Drosophila melanogaster: one gene and its partners. Changing the gene in region 1 together with any one later gene gives a genetic interaction. Each region holds a gene or a part of one and is shown in the gene's direction. Other genes may lie near its edges.

Region 1 (6,961 bases):
GAATGAAAAGGCACATTTATTGTTAAAAACTTGTTTGATTTTGAGCTCTTTGCACTAATTATGATTCAATTGATCTGTGCACTTATTACCCTGCTTTGAATTTGGTTACCGGTCTGGGCAGTTGTTTGCGTTGAGTTTTCTTTCCTAGCATCCCGTTTGGCCTGTTTGGATTGGCACATTAGCATATATCCAAACAGGATATGCACAAGTTTGCTCCAAATTCATTTGGTTCACCATGTAGAAGTTCCATATGCGCCATGGTTGTTATATTAATCATCTTCCGAGACATCGGGCGCATAAAGATCAAATACTTCGAGGAATTGGGCCAATTTCTTGCCCATAAATCCGCCCAATATAATGCCGGGTATAACTGTGATGAAAACAGCGATGTACTTGTATTTATTGTTCTCCTTTCGAATTTTATTTATTTCTTTAAAGTCCTTGAAGTTGTCTCCACGAAATGGCATTTTTGTGTTTTTATTTCGGTAACTGATTTTAGTGTGTGTTCGGAAATGGAATACGACATTATTCTGATAGAAATTTCAAGACTTTCTCCGGCCAAATTGGGACAGGCACGCCCCAGAACCTAAACGCGGATCCAAAACCCTCATCGGAATATTTGAGTGTGCGCCCTATATGGAACTTCCGTTCTGCTGGCTCAAACGACTGATTTTGTCAACCGTCTGATCGTCCCTCTTCAATTGGCTTGCAATTGTCTACATTTCCGTCTAAGGAAGGGTATTGCCTTTTATTTTAATATTCGACCTGCAGCAGTGTTGTGTTTGTTTGTTGATTAACGGAGCGTAGAATAAAAGGTGTCATTTGGAAAGAATTTGTGTTTTCAAAAGGAATTGTAAAACTAAACAAGTTTTAAATGTAATTAGATAGTTCCCTTTATTCATATTCCCTTAACTAATGCTTTAGCATTAGGAAAACTAAATTTCCTTTTCTACTTCCTAAGAAGTCAAGACACATTTTAATTGCACCGAAATAATAATCATGACCTGTTTTTGAGAAGGAAGTAAAAACTTATTCGAAAATGGATAGATGGGAGTCTAATGATCGCGTGTACCCTATAATTAAATTGTTTTATTCCAGTGGATGTGTAAATTGGATCGATTTATCTGCTTTATATTTCTACTGGAAGCAGTGCATTATTTATCATCATTTTCGTTTTATCTGTTTACAAGCATTTATTTTTAATTTGAAAAGAAAGGAAGTGAAAAGCTTAATAAATCATTCTTGTTAAAGGAATGATAAACTAAAATTAATTAACTCTAAATTCGGCTATTCTCATCGGCTAAGTTAATTGGTTTTAACCAGGTCCAAGTGCAAACAATGGTATTTAGTTAAGATTGAGTTAACATTGAATAATCATTTACATACCACAAATATAGAATTGATTTTTTGTCTAAGAATCCCAGCTGACTTTTCATTGATGGTTTCTCACTGTTATCAAAATTTTTCTTAAGCCCCTTCAATTTGCCTTTTTGGACTCTTCATCCACACAGAGATAAAGTGTTCCTTAATAGAAATCCTTCGGGTTGGGAAATCCCACCATAAATAGTAATTGTTGTGCGCAATTCTATAGAATTCCTAAGAAACGAGTGCGAAATTCCTTTTAGCGACGGATGTGACGTAAGGTTACATATACGAACAAAATATAAAAAGGCATAAGATCTTCTAATGGCCATCGATACTAAAAACAATGAATATCCTTGAAGCACTTTGAAAACTATACACACAAAAAAGGATAACTTGCGGGAGAAATTTTAGAAGTTATTTAAAAGAGAAGATAATCTTGATTTGAAAAAGTACCTGCAATAACCCTAACTATTAAATGAGTAGTTTTTGTTGATCATTTGTAGATTCCATTTCCGTTTAGCATTTCGCACGTTTTGCACAGTTTATGACTTCATAAAAAAAATAATGGGACAAGAGAGAGCAGTGTGTAACCAAACAGAGGCAGCAAGAAGTGCCAAAGGATTCCAAGGGCCAAGTGTAACAATCCCACTTTTATGGTGCTCTCTACTTTGTTAGCCAACCCTTTTAGCAAGTTCGTTGCTTGAGTCTTTCGTTCGGCCACCGCTTCCGTTGCGTGCGAATGTTTGAAAACAGCAAGCAACCCAAAATCAAGGGAGGGTAAAAACCCACCTCCGACTTCACATGTCCTCGGCAATTAAACGAAATTTCCCAAGAAACAAGGACGCCGCAGCTAATCCCGTCTAGGCGGTGTAGCCCACGCATTTGGCCAACATCGGTTAGGTAGCGTTTGTGCGGCGAATTCGCAGTGCCGGCTGAGATTACCGAGCCATCATTTCGGCCGAATTCGACGGCGGCGAATAACGATCGGTATGCCGGTTGTTTTTTCGCCGACCGATAACCATAGAAATGTGAAAAAAACCTAAGAAATACGAAGCTTTTCGGGGCTTCAGTATGCCTTCGACTGTGGCGCGTTGTGGACGTTAAGAGGCTGCGGCGAACCCGAACTCTAGACAAGTGTATGTATCGATTCGACTGGGTTTTCTTCAGTACGGCAGTGAGTGAGTGAGTGAGTAAGTGTGAGCGAACGAAAGCCGTTAAGAAGTCTGGCGAGATGAGGCTAGATATACATATACAGTGAGCCATAGGAAAATCTGTAAAACGGGCACGTTAAGCTGTTTTATTTTCCTCGCCTCGCAGTCTTACGTTTCTACCTATTGCCGATCGCCTCTACCTCTCTTCTCTACCTTTTTTTCTGCTTTCTGGCCCGCTCTTCGCCAGTTTCTTACCATTTTTGCTGTCGTGTCTTGTGGTCTTTGGGCGAGTGTAGACGAGTGTGTGTATGTGTGTGTGCGTGGACTGAAACTTCAGGTGCAGACCGCGTTGATTTGCTGAACAAGTTTCAGTCTGAGTTTGGCCTTCGTGTGGTACAGTACATGGTACAGTAAGCGCTCCCCGGATCTGCAGATCTCTTTGTGTCCTATAACAATAAGTGCTTGTGCATTTTGTGAATGTATTTGCCTCGAAACTGGATTTTATTCGATTGTTTTGCCCAGCAAAGTGTTTGATTTTGTGCCTGTGTTCGTTGTACGCTGGCTAGCGAAAAAGGATTTCTGTGCATTTTAATGGAGGCGCGTGCTTGGATCGTGTGTGCTCTATGAGGAAACTGACCATTAAATGCGAAGCAGCAAAAAACAAGAGGAATTTTAAATTGAAAAAAAAAAAAGTGTAATAGATTAACTGCAACACAGAGGACAATACTACGAAATCAGTGAATATATAACTAACATTAAATGCAAGAGTGGTAGAGATACGACAAATTAATGCGAGAATTTCTTTAGCTATTTTATCAAATGAAGGATAGGAAGTCAGCAGTAGTCCGCTATAATAATTTTATGTTGTTTTTAGCCGAGTTGTTGAACTTCTAGTATAATTTGTTCTCCCTGTTTTCTTTGCCAGCCGTTCGGTTTTTACCAGTCCATTAACTTGTCTGTGCCTTTTGCACTTTACTTTGCCAACTGACATTAGACTACTTGTGTGAGTAAGTAGTCCATCCATCGGGAGTAACACACTCGGGTACTCACTTCACATGCCAGCTGCGCATTTACGCTCCCATTAACCGGGTAGAAATAACAAACTTACGGAAAAAGAAGCCACAACTGCTACCAGAAACTGGCCAACAAGTGTTTTGCACAATGGCCAAAAGAAACAACCACAAAAACTAAACAGAAAAAAATATATAGAATGCAGTTTTGGGGTTAAAGTGAAACCAACAACATTTTTGACTTACAAAAAGTTCGTGTCTTAAGTCATTTGTTTGGTTGTCCAATCGTAGAGACCCAAAATCTCAATAGGAATACTTCTTGGACTATCCTCACCAGATTTTCACCTAATTAACATAAATATTTCTTCGAACATTTTTGTGAACTCAATCCCAAAATGTTCCCAACACATTTCGAAGACGTGCTGCGACTTCAGACGAGAATTCTTGGACTTACTTGTTTCGGATCTCTGCCACGGCATGCATAATTAAACAGACCCATCCCCATTAGACAAACTATAGATAGTCAGGCTATCCGATCATAAATTACATTTATGTGACGCGTTTTCGTTTAGCTCAGCTTTTATTTTAAAACTTTTAATCAACTTAAATATCTACCAGCAGTGCAACACTGGCCTTGTACATTTAAAAGTTTAAATAAATAAAAAGAAAACCGCACCAATAAGTTGCCATAAAAAACACTGACACCGCCGTCGTCGCGAAAGGGAAAGAAACCGTCGTTATTGTCGCTTTTGTTGACCTCAAGGATAACCAGCTGACATGCCACATAAATTGGAATACTAGCAGTCGCGAACGATACGTATCGAACATATATAGTGGTTATATACAGCTAAAGCTGCATTTATAAGAGGTGAGTTGCATATTGAAATGGCAGCGAATGAGTCGGAAAAGAGTGGCAAAGTAAAAAGTGTAGAGTGGAAATGCGGGTTGGATTGAATACTAAGTATAAGTATTAGTCTACCAATGACGTTATATTCTTCTGCTTTTAAGCTGACATCATTGCATACCATCACTCTATAATACCTCATAACTATCAATCAGTAAGCCAAATGAATTAAAAGCCAATCTCAAGACACGCCTTATTTTGGCTTCAGTCATTGCGCAAAAATCCGATTAATTATGCATATGTCTACATACAAATTAAGCCATAAACAATGCCATGCTTTCGTTTTATCCAACGATTTGCAATGAAACTTCGTTTTAATTGTGTTTAAATAATTGATTGATTCCCATTGATTGAGCAAACAATTGGCGTATCGAGAGTGGTTATGCTGTATTCCATATAAAGCCTCCCATATGGATTCCCACTTATCCACAAAAAGTAGCACACCCGAACAACAATAAGAACAATTTCTGTTACTTTCTATTAAACAAAACCTAAAAAATGCTTCGATTGTCTGCCGGCCGTGTCTGACTCGCCTTTGTTGTCACATTCATTCAATAAAGGCCAAGTCGGCTTCCCTATACCCGTACCCATACCCATACCCATACCCGTACCCCCAAAACTCCATCGAAAAGTCGAAAAGCGAGAGCTACCCAAACAGTTAACCTCAATTTCAAGACGCACTCGGCGCGCTGTTGTTGTTGTTGCTTAATAACAGAAACCGAAACAAACCATAGAAGTAGTAGAAAATTTCACTCAGACCAAAGTGAAAAGCAGAACAAATGCAAAAAGCCCTCATCACACTTGTAAACAAGCCACAAAAATTCGGTGTTTGCTTTTTATATCGTAGCTCATTTTTTTTGGCAAAGCTATTTGGCAAATATAAATAAACTGGTTGCTTTATGGAAATTGCCATGCCATGATTAGGGATTCTCTCCGGAGATGAGTTCTACTTAAGTCATTTTCATAACTTGGCAAAAGGTATCGGAACAAGTAAAACTTGTTTTAGCGCGTGCTTTATGCCTTAGTCGCTATGGCTTAGTCATAATTTGTATATTGGTATTTGGCTCACAGCATACAAGCGGAAGTTGTGGCTAAAATGTGTGTTAAGAGTTTAATAGGGATTGCAAGCAAGAGAAGTGAATGCAAGTTTGTTGCCTAAGTCTTTTGATTTGTGTGGGCTTCGCTGGAAAACTTTTGCTACAAAATCGTGAATGGAGTTGGAAAGTTATTTTGTGACTCCGATTTTTTTAAAGTCTTGCTCGTGAAAATTTAATTCAAATTAATTTTTTACCTAACAAAGGTTTCGGTTTCACTTGTATGATCTAATCCACCATTTCGCAGGAAACAATCCCCGAAAGAAACGCCACAAAGTCATCTATTATTTGGGCTATGACGAGTTCAGCATTAGATTCTTCGACCTTTTCTCGAAGTTTGATAATTGGCAGCTGATGCCAATGTATCGGCAGGTAGATACACACAAACACACCCTAAAAAACGAGCAATAACAAAGGGTACGTCCAGAATTTAATTCACAGCAATACCAGGTAAAGACCCATCTTCAAATCCCTACTGAAAGTGCGAGAAGTCAGTTGAAATTAGTGGAATGAAATGTATTATGGGTCTAGTTTATTAGGACTGATGGGTCCTACGCATGGTTCACATGAATGACAAATCTCTTGCCGCATATCAAGTGTCAGTTGGCCATTAAAAGAATGGAATGCCAGGGCGTTGTCGGCGTTAGTCTTAAGAGAGATCCATCCATCAGCGGTCTGATCTGGACCAAGATCTTTTCCGACATGCTAGTAAATTATTATAAAGAGAGAGATAGAGATGGCTATTTGCTGCATGTCTGGCGTCCATCAAATCATTAAATAATTATAGCCATTTGATTGGGTTAATAATTTTCAAATCATCAACTCTTTCCCGGCAACGAAAGTTTTCGAAACTGTGGATCTTGATTTTCAATTTTTGTTTATATTGGGATTCTCAACTTCCGTCTCGGCGGCAGTGAAAGTGCCTTCAAATGCCAAACTCATTCTAAAAGCGAATTAATGGTCATTGCAGCGCTCTCTATTTCTTCGCGGCAAAAAGCAGCTTAATCATGTTGAAAAGCTGTTGACAATTTCATAAGTTTTCCAAGGTGGGCGCTTTCTCGGCGCCATCAGCCATTGCTCGTCGATTAGTTACAATTGCCACAAATTTTCTTTATTTCTCCAACTCCATCGCCATCGCCAGCTTCATGTTGTGTGCGTTTTCTGTTTTCTTCTTATGTTTTTAATTGTGAGAATTGTGTGGAAAAGTGGAGCTCACTCGCCGGGAAAAGCGAGTCAAAACAAAAACACATTTGACGCTGTCATTGTCGACAATTGTTCAAAATGGAAAAATGGTGATCGGGCTTAGTGAGGTGAGCTGGAACTGTGGAAATGCCCAGCGGAGCTGCGTTCGTAATCCAGCCAAGTTATCAACTTCCATCTAAGCGCTTGCGATTCTCCCAAGCTCCTCCTCCATTCACTTTCGGACTATCTGCGTTT
Region 2 (6,919 bases), 6.5 Mb from region 1:
TTGGTATTGGTGTGCGAGTGTCTGGCTGCCAGCGGCATTGGTATGCGTGTGTATCTGTGAGTGCTGCTGCTGCTGCTGTTGCTGCATCTAAAATCTAGATGATGACGATGGAAGCGATGCTGCACATCCTGGCGGCCATCTTTTCGACTGGCTAAATTAACTTTTTGAGCCGCCTCTCACATGTTGTTTTCTCCGGCGTTGTTGCTGTTGTTGTTTGTCGATTAACACTTCGTCTGCATGGTTATATGTATATATGGATATATATGTAGGAATAAATTCGTTTAGACGTTTTTTTTTTTCAAACGGTTTTACGAGCGATTTAATATTGTTAAATTGATTTACTGCTGGCCGTGCGCACAAATCAAGTTTTTTTGGCTTTATGATTCGTCGAATACGGAATAAATAAATAAATAAAGCCAAAACTAATCGACGGAAGCCCCGAAAAAAAGCTTTTGAAAGTGGCCCACGCAGGCGGCAAATAGCAATAGTTGAGAAATGAGATAAATAATGGCAAAAAATCCAAATTAAAGTGTAATAAAAAAAAGAGGTCTAACCACTTTTTATTTTTTTTTTTTTGCCTTCCACCAGCCGAACAGCTGAAAAAACACAAAACTGTCGACGAACCTTTTGGCCATTTGCAGCCGGTTTGCAGGGGCAGAACCAATTAAAAAATAAAACCAAAAATAATACAAAAATAGTAAAGAAAACTTTACAAATCAAAAGTAAGTAGGGGTAGCGCAGAGAAAATTAAGGAAAATCCGAACCAGTTGCAAAGCGCCAGCAGCTGATCCACCGGAAAAACTGAAAAGCGCGTCTACACAACCTGAGCAAAGGACCTGCAGCCGGGCACTGAAATTCCAGGAGCAGACCGCCTGCCACGGACGTCAACTTATGTAAAGCCGACTGCCGACTGCCGACTGCGAACTTCGGCCCACATCGCGCTGTTCACCGCCCGCCCTCCTCCACCATCGATTCACATTCACATTTTCCCATTTTCCGGCATTACTGCCGAAGTAAGTGCGTGCGAGCGAGACGCCAGCAATGCAATTTTGCGGGCCAAAGTCAGGCAGTTAACCAGCAGGCTGGTCCGCTTTTTCCTCCTCTGCTGCTCCTGCTGTTTCTTCTTCTTCTTCTGCCTGCTTCCTGCTGCCTGTGGCTGGCACATCTGTGTGTGTGTGTGTGTGGCGCCTGCGCACTGAGCGCACAGCTGACGGCGGTAGGGACCAGGACCGAAGTCCTTCAACATCGGGGAGGGGCAAAAAGCTAATCTCGGAAGTTTCAAGTAAGGTATCATAAAAAATCAAGCTCTTTAGCGTTTTTGGACTTTTACTATTTTGTTTTATTCATCTTCTGGTTAAGAGAATATTCTGCTATAAGAACTTTCAAAAAATTTAAAAACAATGCAAACTATAAGATATTCAACCACAATTGTATAAGCCACGTGATTTTAACAATCACATAATGCCTAGACACACAAGTAACCAAACTTGAGGTTGACAAACTTTCAGCCACCTTATGTAACGTGTTGCTCCCCGAGATTTTGACCGCCCAAGCGTGAACCGTCCCTGTAGTCAGAGGTTTAACCTCTGTTGCTAGGCGCCCGACGCAGTCCCTCCACTGCCGACGCCGGCAGAGCTGCGCCGACTGCCGAGCCAGCTGATTTTTGTGGCAGAGCCGAGGTGCCGTGGAATGGGGATTTTCCCGAAAAGTAACGGCTCTTTCGGGAAAAACCGTTTTCCGTATTGATTTCGGGGGGCGCTGCATGTGAGCTTCCCATAAACCAAATATGCATTCTAAAACGCCCGATGAAAGGAGTAGTTAGCTGCAGTTGGAACGAAGGAGTGGGGAGGGGAATCGAATGAAAAGAAGAAGAAAACAAGTTCTGGGCGCACAGTGGGGCAAGCTTAGAACTGTAGTGACCACTGTGCGGCAGCAGTTGAGCTTCTAGTTTGCAGTAAACGCTTCGGTCTCTCTCTCTCTCTCTCTCGCTCACGCAGGAAACCTGTTTTCGAGAATCGTTTTTTATAGCTTTTGCCACTTGCCACCAGACCAGGCCAAAATAAAAAAAAAATAAACAAAAAGTATTTCACAAGTTTTGTTTGCTTGCTTCTTTGCTGTTTGTGTTGTTGTGGTTGTTGCTGCGCTTGCTAGTTGTTTCGCTTCTGTTTATCATTTACTGTTGTTGCCACCGTTTGGCGTTTACCTTTTGCACAATCTTCGTTTACATGAAAGCGGCGACGACACGCGACCAAAGGCACACACACATTCGCACCTACACCCACACACGGACGGGGAACGCGGACAGACACACGGATACGTGAACGCAGACACGAGGTAACGGTAACGGACAGAGAAAGCGAGCACGTCCACCCGCAGCAACACTCGATGAGCATCTGACGAAGTGTTGCCAGGTGACACAACTCAGAGCGTCTTAACGAGTTTATCACTAAAAAATCCGAGCATGTTAATAATGAGCGCGCGATTCAAAATGGTTGTATTTTAACGTATACTCAAATTATCACAGTAAGCGATAGGCAAATTTAAATCAGTAGATAACCATAGCAAATGGCCCTATCCAGCTTATTAGCATAGCAACAAAACAAGCTTCTGATGTAAACAGCTTATTTGTTAAATATATCAAATTTCTAATAGTTTTCATTATAAATCTAAAATATCAAATGTGGCAACACTGGTTCCATATGATAAAGGTTGCCACCAGGCGTAAAAATATTTTCGTTGAAGTGGACGAGGGCTGCAAAATAAAGTAATTTTGGCGCCTTTTTTGAATTTAAGTGTTCAAAAAAAAATTTATGTAAATGAACGAAGAAGTACACAAGCTCACAAAACAAAATGATTTTAATTTTAATTCAATTAAACAAATTCTCTTTAGAGTTTAAAATATTATTTTGCAATAGCTTAATTTAAATAACATAAATAACATTTGTATTTGCTGTATACCTTATGCGTAAGTATCAATAATGTTTAAATATGTTTAATTAGCTGAAAAGTAAGTGCTGTTGCCTAAATAAGTTTTATTTAATGAATCTAACTATTATTAATATACTATAGTGAATACGATGAGTCATTGTATCATCTCTCGTCAATATCAGTATTAACGCACACGAAAACTAACGCATTAGAAAGATTATCTCTTTTTATGATACTGGTCACTCTAAGACTGAAGTACATTTGTATATGTGGTGAGAAATCGGGTAGTTTAAAAAAAACCACCAAGCGAGTTGGACGCGTAACTCTTTGTAACGGATCTCGGAACGCCGTGGGAGTCGGAAAATCGCTGGACGCGTGTTCGTGCGTTTGCATGTGTGCGTGCGTTCGTGTGTGTGTGTGTGCTAATGTGCGAGCGGGTGAGCGAATAAAAATAAATATATATCGTCAAGTCAGGCTTAAGAAATGTGCGCTAATCAAAGAAAATGCCCCCAATTCTGGCCAATTGAGAATTGTGGCTAAACAAAAAATTCGACCGGAGTTCAAGTGAGTGCCAATTGCGGAGACAAAATGGCTGCATTTCAACGCATTTAATTTACTGGCAACACATAGCAAACGAGAGTGAGAGAGAGAAATGTAGAGAGGCAATCCGAGAAGCAACATAAAAGAGAGAGCATGAAAGAAGTACAAGACGAGGCACACGAAAATAAGTAAACATGCAAAAACATTGTTAAATTAGCCCTATTGCGAAGTTAAACTACACATAATACTATTCACGAAAACATTTTTCTGTTTAATTATTTTGAAACAGCATTGTAAACAAATCGATTTGTTGTTCTTTTGTGCCAGCAACAACAAGCGTTTTAAAAGCAACAATAATTAATTTAATGCATTTTGTTGCGTTTGCGCCGCAGCTGTCGCTCTCTCCTTTTCCGTCTTCCGTCGCTCTTTGTCGTCTCTGTTGCATCTCCCTCTCTTGCTCTCCTCTCCGCGCTTGCTCATTGCCTCTGTGTGAGTGCAAAGGCCAATAGCTGTTTTTGTTGTGATTTTATGTTTGTTTGTATTGCTAATGTTTTGGTTTTCCAACTATTCATAAACTTATTAAACAAGAAAAAACGCATACCGAACTTATGAATATAGCGTAAATAGTAAAAAACATAATTATAAAAAAAACAATAAAACAAATAAAATTGCCTATTTTTATATTTAAATAGTATATTTTTAATAATATTAAATCAATCAAAATGTCTCGCTCTTCTGCCTTCAGAAATAAACAATCCAGTGAATAAACACACAAAATCAATCAAAAAAGAAGATTTTTCTTTTTTATTTTCGCTTTTAATTTATTAACGAGAAAATATTGGAATAAAACAAAAATAAAAATATAAGAAAAGTGTACGTGACAAGAGCTCGAAAAGAAGTTGCAACAAATAGCAAAAATAATTCGTGCGTGCGAAAAAGTGCTGCGAAGTTTTATGGCCCATGCAAAAAGTGCTAAATTTGTAAATGGCATGGAAAGTGCAAAGCTCTGATTAAAAAACCCGCGAAGATTGGAGTGCGAGGTGCCGCCCAATAACGCAACCAACTACTGCCACAAGGAAATTATTAAGACCAATCAACGACCTTCGCGGAAATAAAAAAAATAAAAAATAAAACAAAAGCAAGCAGAAATTTGGTGCTAGTTCTGTTTAGTCGACAGCCATCCACGTTGGATCCCCATCGCAAATAATGTCATCAAAATGTGCTTTCAACATTGTATTCGTATCGATCATTTTCATCATCATCGTAAATGGTAAGTTCGAAAAACTAACATTGATTAACAATGTAATCTAAATGGTTTCCGTTCCTATTTCATATAATTTTTTAAATATTTTAATTTAAAAATACATAAAGCATTGGTGTTTTTTTTCTGCACTTGACTCACTGGCAACCGAAGAAACCACAACAATCGGGGCTTAAAATGAAATACAGCCGAGGGTGCTGCAAATGACGCATAGACAATAACATTGGAATAAGTGCTCAATCAGGCGGAAACAAAGTTAACATTTTCACCCAGAACCCTTCGAGCAACAAAAATAATTACGTACTTTGCCAGGATAATTGACGAGTGAAGGATATTAGGGGGAAGGGGAAGGGTATCGTTTTGAGGGTGGAACACAGAGGGTTTCTTATAATTTTAGTAGACACTTTGGGTAATTGTCTTTGGGTTTTCTCGCCTCCCTAACTATGCTGTGGGTGTATTTTGTTATTAAACAAATGGGGTTGCTTTGCATAATTAATTTAATTTCGCTATTGTCACTCCAAGCGAATTGACAGAATGATTTTCTTGTGACCCAGAGTGTTTGCTTTCAGCAATATTCTCACTTGCAGGTGCCAAGGTTTCAAACTCAACCGACTCTAATAACAATCTATATAGCCGTGAATGTACTTTTTTTACACTTAAGTTAGCTACTCATATATGTATGTATGTTCATGTAAATATACAAATTCAGATTCTACCTATTTATTTCCACAAAGCAAGTCCATTGTTGGGGCAAAAAGAGCGAAGAAGGCGAAAAGCATAAGGTATAACGTGAGTCATGAAAACCTGAGTAAAGCTCAGGGGACTCATCCATTTTTATTGTGAAATCGTTAGCTTGGGTTTAACAAAAGGGGACTTACAAAATTTTAAAACTATATACTTCGGTATGAAACACACAGTAGGAATGAAACATTTAGCTTATACATCTACATATATAAATATATATATCAGAGTTGTGCTACTTAATTTATGAATATATTGTGTTTTGTGATAAAAAAAATGTCGTTACTGCATTGAAGACCGTTTTTTCGCCACTTCAACTAATTTGTTTGCATGGCAAGATTTTCCTAAGTTCAACGTTACGAAATTCGAGGCGGGGCGAGGGATCATGACAACAACTTCCACTCTTGGCTAATTAGCCAAAGTCAAGCAACATGAACATGGGTAAAAGAGTGAGGATTGAGGGCCAAGAATCAAGCCAAGAAGAGTGGCGGAGGCAAAAACTGGTTTATCCACTTGGCCGGCTAATCTGACAACAAAGAAAGAGAGCAGACATAAGAACCGAGAACCCAGAAGCGAGGCGAATAGAAAAGGCCAGAGACAAACAAAAAATCTGCGAAAAAGGTCAATGTCTCGGCATTATCTGTCTGGGCTGCACAAACCATATTATAATGATTAAAAATGAAAAAATTATAAAAAAATATATATATATATATATGCAACAGCTATCGGAGAAGAGTTTTTCTCCCACAAATAAGCAGCGGAAGCGAAAGAAATATATAAACCAAAAATGCTGTGAAAAGCAACAGTTCTGAGATACAGTAACAAGATACAGCTGGGAATTAAGATAAAGATACTGTATCCGTATCTTAGTTTCAGCTTGAGATTGCGGCTACTTTTTACGTAACTTATCTGCAGTTTTTTGGTTTCGTTTTTTTTTTTTTTTTGATCTTGAAAGAGACAAAAAAAACTTGAAGATTCGCTGACGAGTGAAATGAGTTTCTAGAGTCACATCTGGGTTTTTCCGGATTTTATTATTGTTATTGATAAGCTGTTGACTAAAAGTTGTTTCAAATATAATTTCAGTCGGGCAAAAAGCTTTCATAAATCACATATAGGAGATGTGGGAGAGTTTAGGATGGGAGGAGAGTTTAGGATGATAGGGCCCAGAGAACAATGGACACTTTGCCCGGGCATTTATGCAATTTTCCTTTGCTTTATTTCCCGTACGTGCCGAGTGCAACATAGTAAACAAACAAATAATGAAGCCACCATCGAAATCTAGAGATGACAACGTGACCGTGGATGAAGAACTTCGTGCTGTTTCATAATATACTCGTACAAAGAAAATGACCCACAAAACTCGTGGGTTTATTTGGTGAATCCGACCCAGATGATAGACGCGTTTGTTCTGTATTTGCCGTCGTATCTGCCAGATACAAATGTATCTGT
Region 3 (9,173 bases), on another chromosome or scaffold:
GAACGAGGCCATTCAGAGCAGCAAGCTGGGGATCAAGACGGATCTATCGAAAATCTAACAAATCGTTGCCCTGCTCCTATCACTAGTTATAAAATAAAAACAAATATGGAAAACTAAATGTACTTCCTTTTGTCTTTTGTTCGCTAAATGTTTGAAACATATGGCATGTGAAATTTGTTGTCATCTAGAGAGAAATGGTACAAAGAAGCGGAAGTTGGCCAAATTCAATTCAAGAAGACTTCTCTTTCTCACAGGCACAACTTCCCGATTGGCGGAAAACAAAGTGAGTGATGGGCATGGATACATCTTAGATTTATTGAATCCAAGCCGACGCCAAATCATCGACTCATCCAAAAGCACTCTCACAGGCACTTAGATTAAAAAAAAAAAAAACAAAAAAAATTGTACACTTAAAAGTTTATTAGTTATCAAATTCAGTGAGCATGGCCCAACTAATTTCATCCATGTGTACTTAAAAGTCTCCACCATCGGACCGGACCGGCTTCAGATTGAATCAACCCTGCTTCTGGGCAAGCTCGCGTGCCTTGGCGCGCTCCAGCTTAGAGATGCGGGCCAGACTCTTGGAGCCAAGGATACCACCGCCCCAGTGGCGACGGATCTCCTCGTGGCGCTCGTTGAAGTTGGTCTTCACAGCCTCCAGGACCTTGCCGAAGTTGGCCTTGTCGTTGTTATCGACGGTGGTCAGGGCGAGGGTGGTGCAGGTCTTGCGACGCACCAGGCGACCCAGACGAGCCTTACCCTTCACAATGCAGTAGGGCACGCCCATCTTGCGGCACAGGGCGGGCAGGAAGAGCACCAGCTGGAATGGAAATTAACGCGTTAATCAATTGTCGTCTTGGAAAACCACGTGGTTCGTGGGCTTGCGCATTGTATGCAATCAAGTTGCCCTCAATTCTTCAAATGTTAACTTTATCTTTGGCTTAGTTATTAGATCTAGTTGTTAGCTCTTCAACTAATTCAAAGATAAACCAAGGATTTAGCAATCCTTAACAAAGAATTAAGGCGTCAGGAGTCAAATTTCTACATGGCAGCAACCCACTCCGCCGGAGCAGGATAACCTGCTAGCCGCCGGAAGCGAGAAGCCTTGAGTTGAAGAAATTTTTTCATCATCGCAACGTGATTGAGAACCATGTATATTTGCAAATTTGCAAATATTTGGATGATGTGCAAGCTTTGAGCTGCGACAATTGAGTCAAACTAACCTCCAGAGGATCAACATCGTGGGCAATGACCACCAGTTGGGCCTTCTTCTGCTCGATCAGCTTGGTCACCGTGTTGGTACCGGCGGACACATAGCTGGGCTTCTTCTTGGGCTCCACATCCTTGCCCTTGGCCTTAGCCTCGGCGATCTTCTTCAGGCGCAGCTTCTTGGCCAGCGGCGACTCGGGGCGGTACTTCTCCAGCAGCTTGAACAGCTTCACGGCGGTGGTCTTGTCCAGAGTCTGGCTGAACTGGTGGATTGGTGGTGGGACCTTCAGGCGCTTCTGGAGCACAGCCTTTTGACGCTGCACCCGGATGTATTTGGGCCAGCGAACGAAACGGGACAGATCGCGCTTGGGCTGCACATTCTGGCCTGCAAAGTGAGAGAATATGTATACATTTAGCTAATATGTAAGAAATTCCGCTGCAATATTCATATATATAGAATATGTTTTGTGCACTTACCGATTCCGAAGTTCTTGGGACGCTTCTCGAACAGCTGGTTAACAACCTTCTTGACCACGGGCTTCTTGACAGCCAGAGGAGCGGGAGCCACCTTCTTGGTCACTGGCTTCTTCTTTGGCCTGGGCTGTAAACGCAATGAAAACACGCATTAGGTTAATTCGAGTTAACAGCAAATTTACGCCGATAACTCACCTTCTTGACAACCATTTTCAAGCGGTTTTAAAGTTTGCTACCGAAATAAGCAGTTGCTAAAAAAGAATTAGCACATTAATACGTTTTAAACTTGGTAAAGTTAATGGGAAAACACGCAAAACTTCGGCGACCAGCAAAACACGTGCATGAAAAATGTAAGTACGGAAAGAAAAAAAAAACCATGTTGCTTGCGTGTGTGTGTGTGTGTGTGTGTGATAATTGGGTATAAACAACACACGTTTTTTCGCAGATTTTCCGAAGAAATCTACTCCGTTTTCATTAAATTGAAGAAATATTACTTTCATTTTGATAACTTTGAAGTTTTAAGGTTTCTTTAACAACACTTCTACACACACACTCCATACACCTGCACCAACACATGCACAAAAACATGCCGCAACGCACATTTTTGTTCAAATGGGTTGGAATTTGGCAATTTCACTACAAAAAAAAAAAAGGTTTTCGGAGTATACTGCGTACTTCACGTGTTGTTTACACTTTGTTCTTTTAAGTGGCACATTTAAATCCGGCTTTGGAAGCCCACAGAAAAAAAATTATACAAAAAATTTGGTTTTGCACACATTTTCGCCGGCCGCGTAGTTTTTGGGTGAATTTCTGGAATTGTGAGCTTTACCTGTGATAAGCACGACCACGAACGTATCGAAATACTCGCTGAAAGTAAATAAAATATTGGTTTTTAGCACAAAATTCAGGACTGCTCGCTAGGCACATGCACTCACCGGAAACGTGGAACGAAAAAGAAAGGAAGTGGCAGTTCCAATGTTGGAAATCGAGTAGATTCGATCTGACCGTGCCACATTTGCACCGAAACGCCAAAAGAAGCGATATACCGAGGTGAGAGGCTATGCTTATTCTTAGCAGAGACTCGCTCCATTTATGTTTTAAAAATTTTAAGGTACATCAGATAAGTTAAAAAACAATGTTATTTAAGCGTAACTTCTTTTTTAATAGGCCAGCGCTTGAAAACGAATCAAATCGTGGTCAGAATACCTTTCGTTTAAATAAAAATAATATATCTAACATTCCATCCTATCTAGGACATACACCACAAATGTGATCGTTACAGCAAAGACATGCTCAAATTATGAATTTCTTAAAAGTGACCGATTTGTATTACCGAAAATCTTGAAAAGAAATACTAAATAGAAAGAAACTTTGGAAGCAGCCAGTGTTGGAGGTCGCGTTGCTTAAGAAAAGTAGCTTAAACTTGCCAAAGTAAATAAAAAATATTGAAATTAATATCAAGTAAAATCATTGCAAGTTCTTATTTTTTTCATTTCAATATAGAATTCAATTACACATATATTAATTGATTAATTAACAAGCTAAAAATAGTATCTGTTTATATTCAAGTGCAAGAAAAGAAAATAAAAAATATTAAACATTTAGCTAGATCTAGCTAGCAACCAGTTATGCCAACCCTGAAACTACCGAATCCAACTGGTGGCTGCAGATGCAGTGCGGTATTTTCATCCGGCCTTATTTAGCCATTTTCCGCTGTTGTCTCTCATTAAATCGCTGTCCAACAATAAAAATTTCTCGCCTGCGCTTGCGCTAAATGCTAGAAAAACTGTTTTTACCATCAAACGTGAATTCTTAAGCTGCGCCTAAACGAAACCGAGTGACTAAAGAACCAGAACGAAAACTTCGGGAAAATGGAAGCCAGGGAAAATCAGGGATAACTAACGCTGGCAGCGGGTCCACCATTTTTAATTTCTTTGTTTATTTTGTGCCCATCTTCGCGAGCGAGCGAGATAGCGCGACAGCAACAGCAAGAGAGAGCGAGAGAGAGAGAGTGAGTGAGTGAGAGCTAGTGAAGAGAGCGCAGGAGGAGTTGGATATGGAAATGGGCATGGATATGGCAATGGGCTCACTCCACGGATAACGGATCAACTGCAAGCAATGGCCAGCAGCGCCGGAAGTGCGGCATCCGGATCCGTTGTTCCCGGTGGCGGAGGTAGCGCCGCCTCCAGTTGTGCCACCATGGCCCTGTCCACCGCCGGATCCGGTGGGCCGCCCGTGAACCACGCCCACGCCGTCTGCGTGTGGGAGTTCGAGTCGCGCGGCAAGTGGCTGCCCTATTCGCCGGCGGTGTCGCAGCACTTGGAACGCGCCCACGCCAAGAAACTGACGCGCGTCATGCTGAGCGATGCGGATCCCAGCCTGGAGCAGTACTACGTCAACGTGCGCACAATGACCCAGGAATCGGAGGCGGAAACGGCCGGCTCCGGCCTGCTGACCATCGGTGTTCGGCGCATGTTCTACGCACCCAGCTCGCCGGCGGGCAAGGGCACCAAGTGGGAGTGGTCGGGCGGCAGTGCCGATAGCAACAACGACTGGCGGCCCTACAACATGCACGTCCAGTGCATCATCGAGGACGCCTGGGCGAGGGTGAGTGCCGTGCAGAATCGAATGTTTTCCCATTGGCAGTCTAGTTGGAATTTTGAGTTGCTCAGGAATTTTTTTATCGGGAGAATATATGGGGAATCTTAAAAGAGTGTGGGTTTACCACTGATCCTGAAGAATTGGCTAAGGATGCACCAGTCTGTGATGTGTCCATAGGTGTTTAAATAGTACATATAAGCCAAATTCCACAGTTCACATCTCAGCCAAAAAACGTAGTAGATCGAAGAAGTGTACCTTTTTGAATTTCTGATGCTTAGACAAATAAATCTGCATTTAAATTTTTTAGCTAAAATCAAATTAATTTTTTTTTCAAAAATTTCCATTTTTGCAACCTCAAAATGGGACAAAAAAATTGAAAAAAAATTTAATTTTCACTTTTGTAAAAGTTTGAATACAGAAACTTTCTGCTTTAAAAATAATGACTATTAAAATCATTCGCACTTAAATCGCTGGAGTTTTGGCTGAGTTATGGTATTATGATCAAATTTTAGGGGCTATATAAATTTATTCTTCTTCTTGCACAAAGTCCAACTGCAACCGCATATCAATCAATCAATATCATCAATTATAGATTGTAACATAACTTATTCCTACTCCCTTGCAGGGCGAACAAACCTTGGACCTGTGCAACACCCACATCGGCCTGCCGTACACCATTAACTTTTGCAATCTCACCCAGCTGCGCCAACCCAGCGGACCCATGCGCAGCATTCGGCGTACCCAACAGGCGCCGTATCCCTTGGTGAAACTAACGCCACAACAGGCCAACCAACTCAAGTCGAATTCCGCCAGCGTGAGCAGCCAGTACAACACTCTACCCAAACTGGGAGACACCAAGAGCCTGCACAGAGTGCCCATGACCAGGCAACAGCACCCATTGCCCACCAGCCATCAAGTGCAGCAGCAGCAGCATCAGCACCAGCATCAACAGCAGCAGCAGCAGCAACATCATCACCAGCATCAGCAACAACAGCATCAGCAACAGCAGCAACATCAGATGCAGCACCATCAAATCCATCATCAGACGGCGCCCAGGAAGCCGCCCAAGAAGCACAGCGAGATCTCCACCACCAATCTACGCCAGATACTCAACAACCTAAACATCTTCAGCAGCAGCACTAAGCACCAATCGAACATGTCGACGGCGGCCAGTGCCAGTTCATCCTCCTCATCGGCCTCGCTGCACCATGCCAACCATCTGTCGCATGCGCACTTTTCGCACGCCAAGAACATGCTGACTGCCTCGATGAACAGTCATCATAGTCGCTGCTCGGAGGGATCGCTGCAGTCGCAAAGGAGCAGCCGGATGGGCTCGCATCGCTCGAGATCGCGTACGCGGACCTCGGACACGGACACGAACAGTGTGAAATCGCATCGGCGGAGACCCAGTGTGGACACTGTGTCCACTTACCTCAGCCACGAGAGCAAGGAGAGCCTGCGCAGCAGGAACTTTGCCATTTCGGTCAATGATCTGCTGGACTGCTCGCTTGGCAGCGATGAAGTTTTTGTGCCCTCGCTGCCGCCATCGTCGCTGGGCGAAAGGGCGCCGGTGCCGCCGCCATTACCACTGCATCCGCGACAGCAACAGCAGCAGCAACAACAGCAACAGCAGCTGCAGATGCAACAGCAGCAACAGGCGCAGCAGCAGCAGCAGCAATCAATCGCCGGTTCGATTGTGGGCGTGGACCCGGCCAGCGATATGATATCGCGTTTTGTCAAGGTGGTGGAGCCACCGCTGTGGCCCAATGCCCAGCCCTGTCCCATGTGCATGGAGGAGCTGGTGCACTCCGCCCAGAATCCGGCCATTTCGCTGAGTCGCTGCCAGCATCTCATGCATTTGCAGTGCCTCAATGGGATGATAATTGCCCAGCAAAACGAAATGAACAAGGTGAGCACGCGAAAGCGATGCCAATTAGAAAGAGAAAGTTTATTTAAATTTCATTCCCCTAGAACCTTTTCATCGAGTGCCCTGTATGCGGCATCGTTTACGGCGAGAAGGTTGGCAATCAGCCCATTGGCAGCATGTCGTGGAGCATAATCAGCAAGAATCTGCCAGGACACGAGGGTCAGAACACCATACAGATTGTTTACGAGTAAGTGTGAATGTGCCTGTGGCCACTGAGCAATCAACTATAATCACTCTTTTTCATTTGCATGGCAGCATTGCATCGGGACTGCAGACGGAGGAGCATCCGCATCCGGGTCGTGCCTTCTTCGCCGTGGGATTTCCGCGGATCTGCTACTTGCCGGACTGCCCGCTGGGGCGAAAAGTGCTGCGCTTCCTCAAGATTGCATTCGATCGTCGGCTGCTTTTCTCGATCGGACGATCGGTGACCACCGGACGCGAGGATGTGGTGATCTGGAACAGTGTGGATCACAAGACGCAGTTCAATATGTTTCCGGATCCCACCTATTTGCAACGAACCATGCAACAGCTGGTGCACCTGGGCGTGACGGATTAAGGATTAGTTCCCTGTCCCCGAGTAGAACTACCAACCAACCAATCAACCAACCACCCACCCACCGAAGTCCCCTCGATCATTCTCTTCCATTCGTCGTTAAGTTACTTTCTACATAATCTCAGTGTGTGTGCAATCCTCGTTTACTATGATATATTTTTTTTATAGATATATTGTAATAGCGTTCGAGCTGCTCGAACCCTAAAACAACAGCAAACCACAATTGCAATTGTAGCTTCCTTTCCGCTCTTCCAATTCGTATTTGTACGCACATACGCAATAAGTTGGCGTACATCATATGTATTAGCTAGTTAGTTAGTTAGTTAGTTGTAGCTGTAGTTCCCAAGAGAATCTTGACCCAAGACACCTACTAGTATTAGGCATTATCCTGATTCTTGATTCCTGATTCGATTCAAGCCAAGCCAAGCCACGCCATTCGAGTGCAAGCTGTGCCAAAATCGTAGCGCTCCCGTTTATAGGATATGTATATTGTTGATATAGCTAGCTATAACCATTGCCCATCTCTCCATCTCTCTCGGTTTCGAATTTGTCTCTTTCATCAGATCCATGTGAATTTTCTTTATATCGGATTTATATAGGATTAAAATAGTATTTTGAGAGAGGAAATGGAGATGGGTAAATTCGATAGACTTGTCTCACTTGTCTTGGCCATTTAATCTCTTTCATTCAGCGAATTTGATGTGATTTTAATTTGAATTATTCATTATTAAACGGAGCATTTAGGAAGCATAGTTGTAACGCAGCCAGATATTCCATTACGCATATACATATACATATACATATACATACATACATAAACATATTTTAACATAGCCCCATAGCCATACGACATAACAATAATTTTTTTTATCGAATCCCTTGCATACATTTGATGAATTGTTGCTTTCATATTGATATCATCGAGCATCGAACGAACTATCGTATACATCGCCAATATATAGCATATATAGCATATAGTATGTAGAGATCGTACGGACAGCTAGCGGCTACTGACCGCGCCACCATATTTGATATATGATATGATATGATTTTACTAAGTTGTATTTAGCACTGATTAGTTATTAAAGTTCATTGCGAATATTCCACAACAAATTCCACACCATTTATGTATGCATATTACGCATATATAATACAGTACATTTATATATAGTTCAAATAAAGTAACTTTCATTCATGTTCAAATTAAGTCTTTCTTTTGGGATATTTATTCACTCATGTCTAAAAGGAAATCTTTCTTTTTGGACTTTTTCACTTATGTATGTATGTTCGAATGAGTTCTTTCTTTTGGGACTTTTTTCTTTATGCCTCTTATGTTATATTATTCACTCAATTGTGCCATGCTGCTTGTAAACTAATTACCAGCACAAGCTTAAATTCCAATTAGGTGGCTCTATGGCATTGTTGCATTGTTGCCAGTTTCTTACCAATGCGGTGCAATTCAAATCAATCAGTTGACATTTTTGGAACTTCCAAGGTTTAGCTGTTTTCAGTTTTCGGTTTTCGTTTTCAGTCTACGCCGCCGTGAATCACTTAAAATAAATTAATAAAAGACAAAAAATCCGATGCATTTTTTTTTTTTTGTCATTGTGCAGTGCAGCGAGTGCGTGATGTGTTGGTGATGTTGGATATGCTGGTGATGTTGGCGATGCTCTGGTGAAGTTGCTCCGGGCCATTTAAGGCGCAGCGGCAACAAGTTGAAGACGTGTTGTCGTTGTCGCCATGTCGCCTCTTCAACTGCCTACGTGCTGACGTCAGGCAGGCGCAAGGACAGTGTCCAAAAGTGGACAATATATATATAGCGTGGCCCAGAGCGGCTTTCACTGCTCCTCCTCCAAGGGCGGCCAATCATTCGGCCGCAGCTGTTCTTGTTGCAAGTCGTTAGTTTGGCATTAGCAGCACTTGGCCAAGTCTACGATGTGAAAGGATCGAGGAGCAACTGAAAGTTGTAGATTTCTCTGGCTTTGGGCCTGCTTCATATCTATGGATCATCAAGTGATCATTAGATATTGGGATATAGATACAACTCTTTTCAGCTTGAGCACTCTGGTCAGGTATCCTAAAAATAGATGCCTCTCCTGCTGATGCGGCTGTTTTCCTTGTGCCAGTTGCATAAGCAAATGTTTTCCTAGAATTTACAGCATTTCATGCAATCTTTATGCGATTTTATGCGACTGACAATGATCGCTGATCGTTGACATTCAACACACGCAACACGACAACGCGGCAGACAGAGCGCGATATATGCGAAGCGTGTGGCGTGGAAAGAGAGGGGTGACAACAAGTGCGTATTGATGATGAGATCGCTAATAAGGTGGTTTTGGCCAAAATAAACAAGCCTGCTCCACTGACCCTGTGACATTCGCCTTTTGTTTAATTGTTTTTTTTTTT

What was found.
Region 2: of uif (region 1) and kuz, changing one enhances a phenotype caused by changing the other (phenotypic enhancement), as found in Drosophila melanogaster (one study listed by BioGRID).
Region 3: of uif (region 1) and dx, changing one enhances a phenotype caused by changing the other (phenotypic enhancement), as found in Drosophila melanogaster (one study listed by BioGRID).

The regions. Positions count from the first base shown.
Region 1 is NT_033779.5:7,005,833-7,012,793, reverse strand, and holds the start of uif (uninflatable), read left to right. Parts: upstream 1-2,434; 5' UTR 2,435-2,501; intron 2,502-2,884; exon of another isoform or gene 2,885-2,921; intron 2,922-4,144; exon of another isoform or gene 4,145-4,147; 5' UTR 4,148-4,394; intron 4,395-6,961. Other genes in the region: CG43321 (uncharacterized protein), read right to left, coding at 270-467.
Region 2 is NT_033779.5:13,546,929-13,553,847, forward strand, and holds the start of kuz (kuzbanian), read left to right. Parts: upstream 1-3,210; 5' UTR 3,211-3,365; exon of another isoform or gene 3,366-3,492; intron 3,493-4,213; 5' UTR 4,214-4,674; coding exon 4,675-4,738; intron 4,739-6,919.
Region 3 is NC_004354.4:6,530,612-6,539,784, forward strand, and holds dx (deltex), read left to right. Parts: upstream 1-3,387; 5' UTR 3,388-3,801; coding exon 3,802-4,290; intron 4,291-4,909; coding exon 4,910-6,193; intron 6,194-6,255; coding exon 6,256-6,398; intron 6,399-6,466; coding exon 6,467-6,767; 3' UTR 6,768-7,964; downstream 7,965-9,173. Other genes in the region: Agxt (Alanine-glyoxylate aminotransferase), read left to right, coding at 1-58; RpL7A (ribosomal protein L7A), read right to left, coding at 515-820, 1,224-1,594, 1,687-1,810, 1,879-1,893.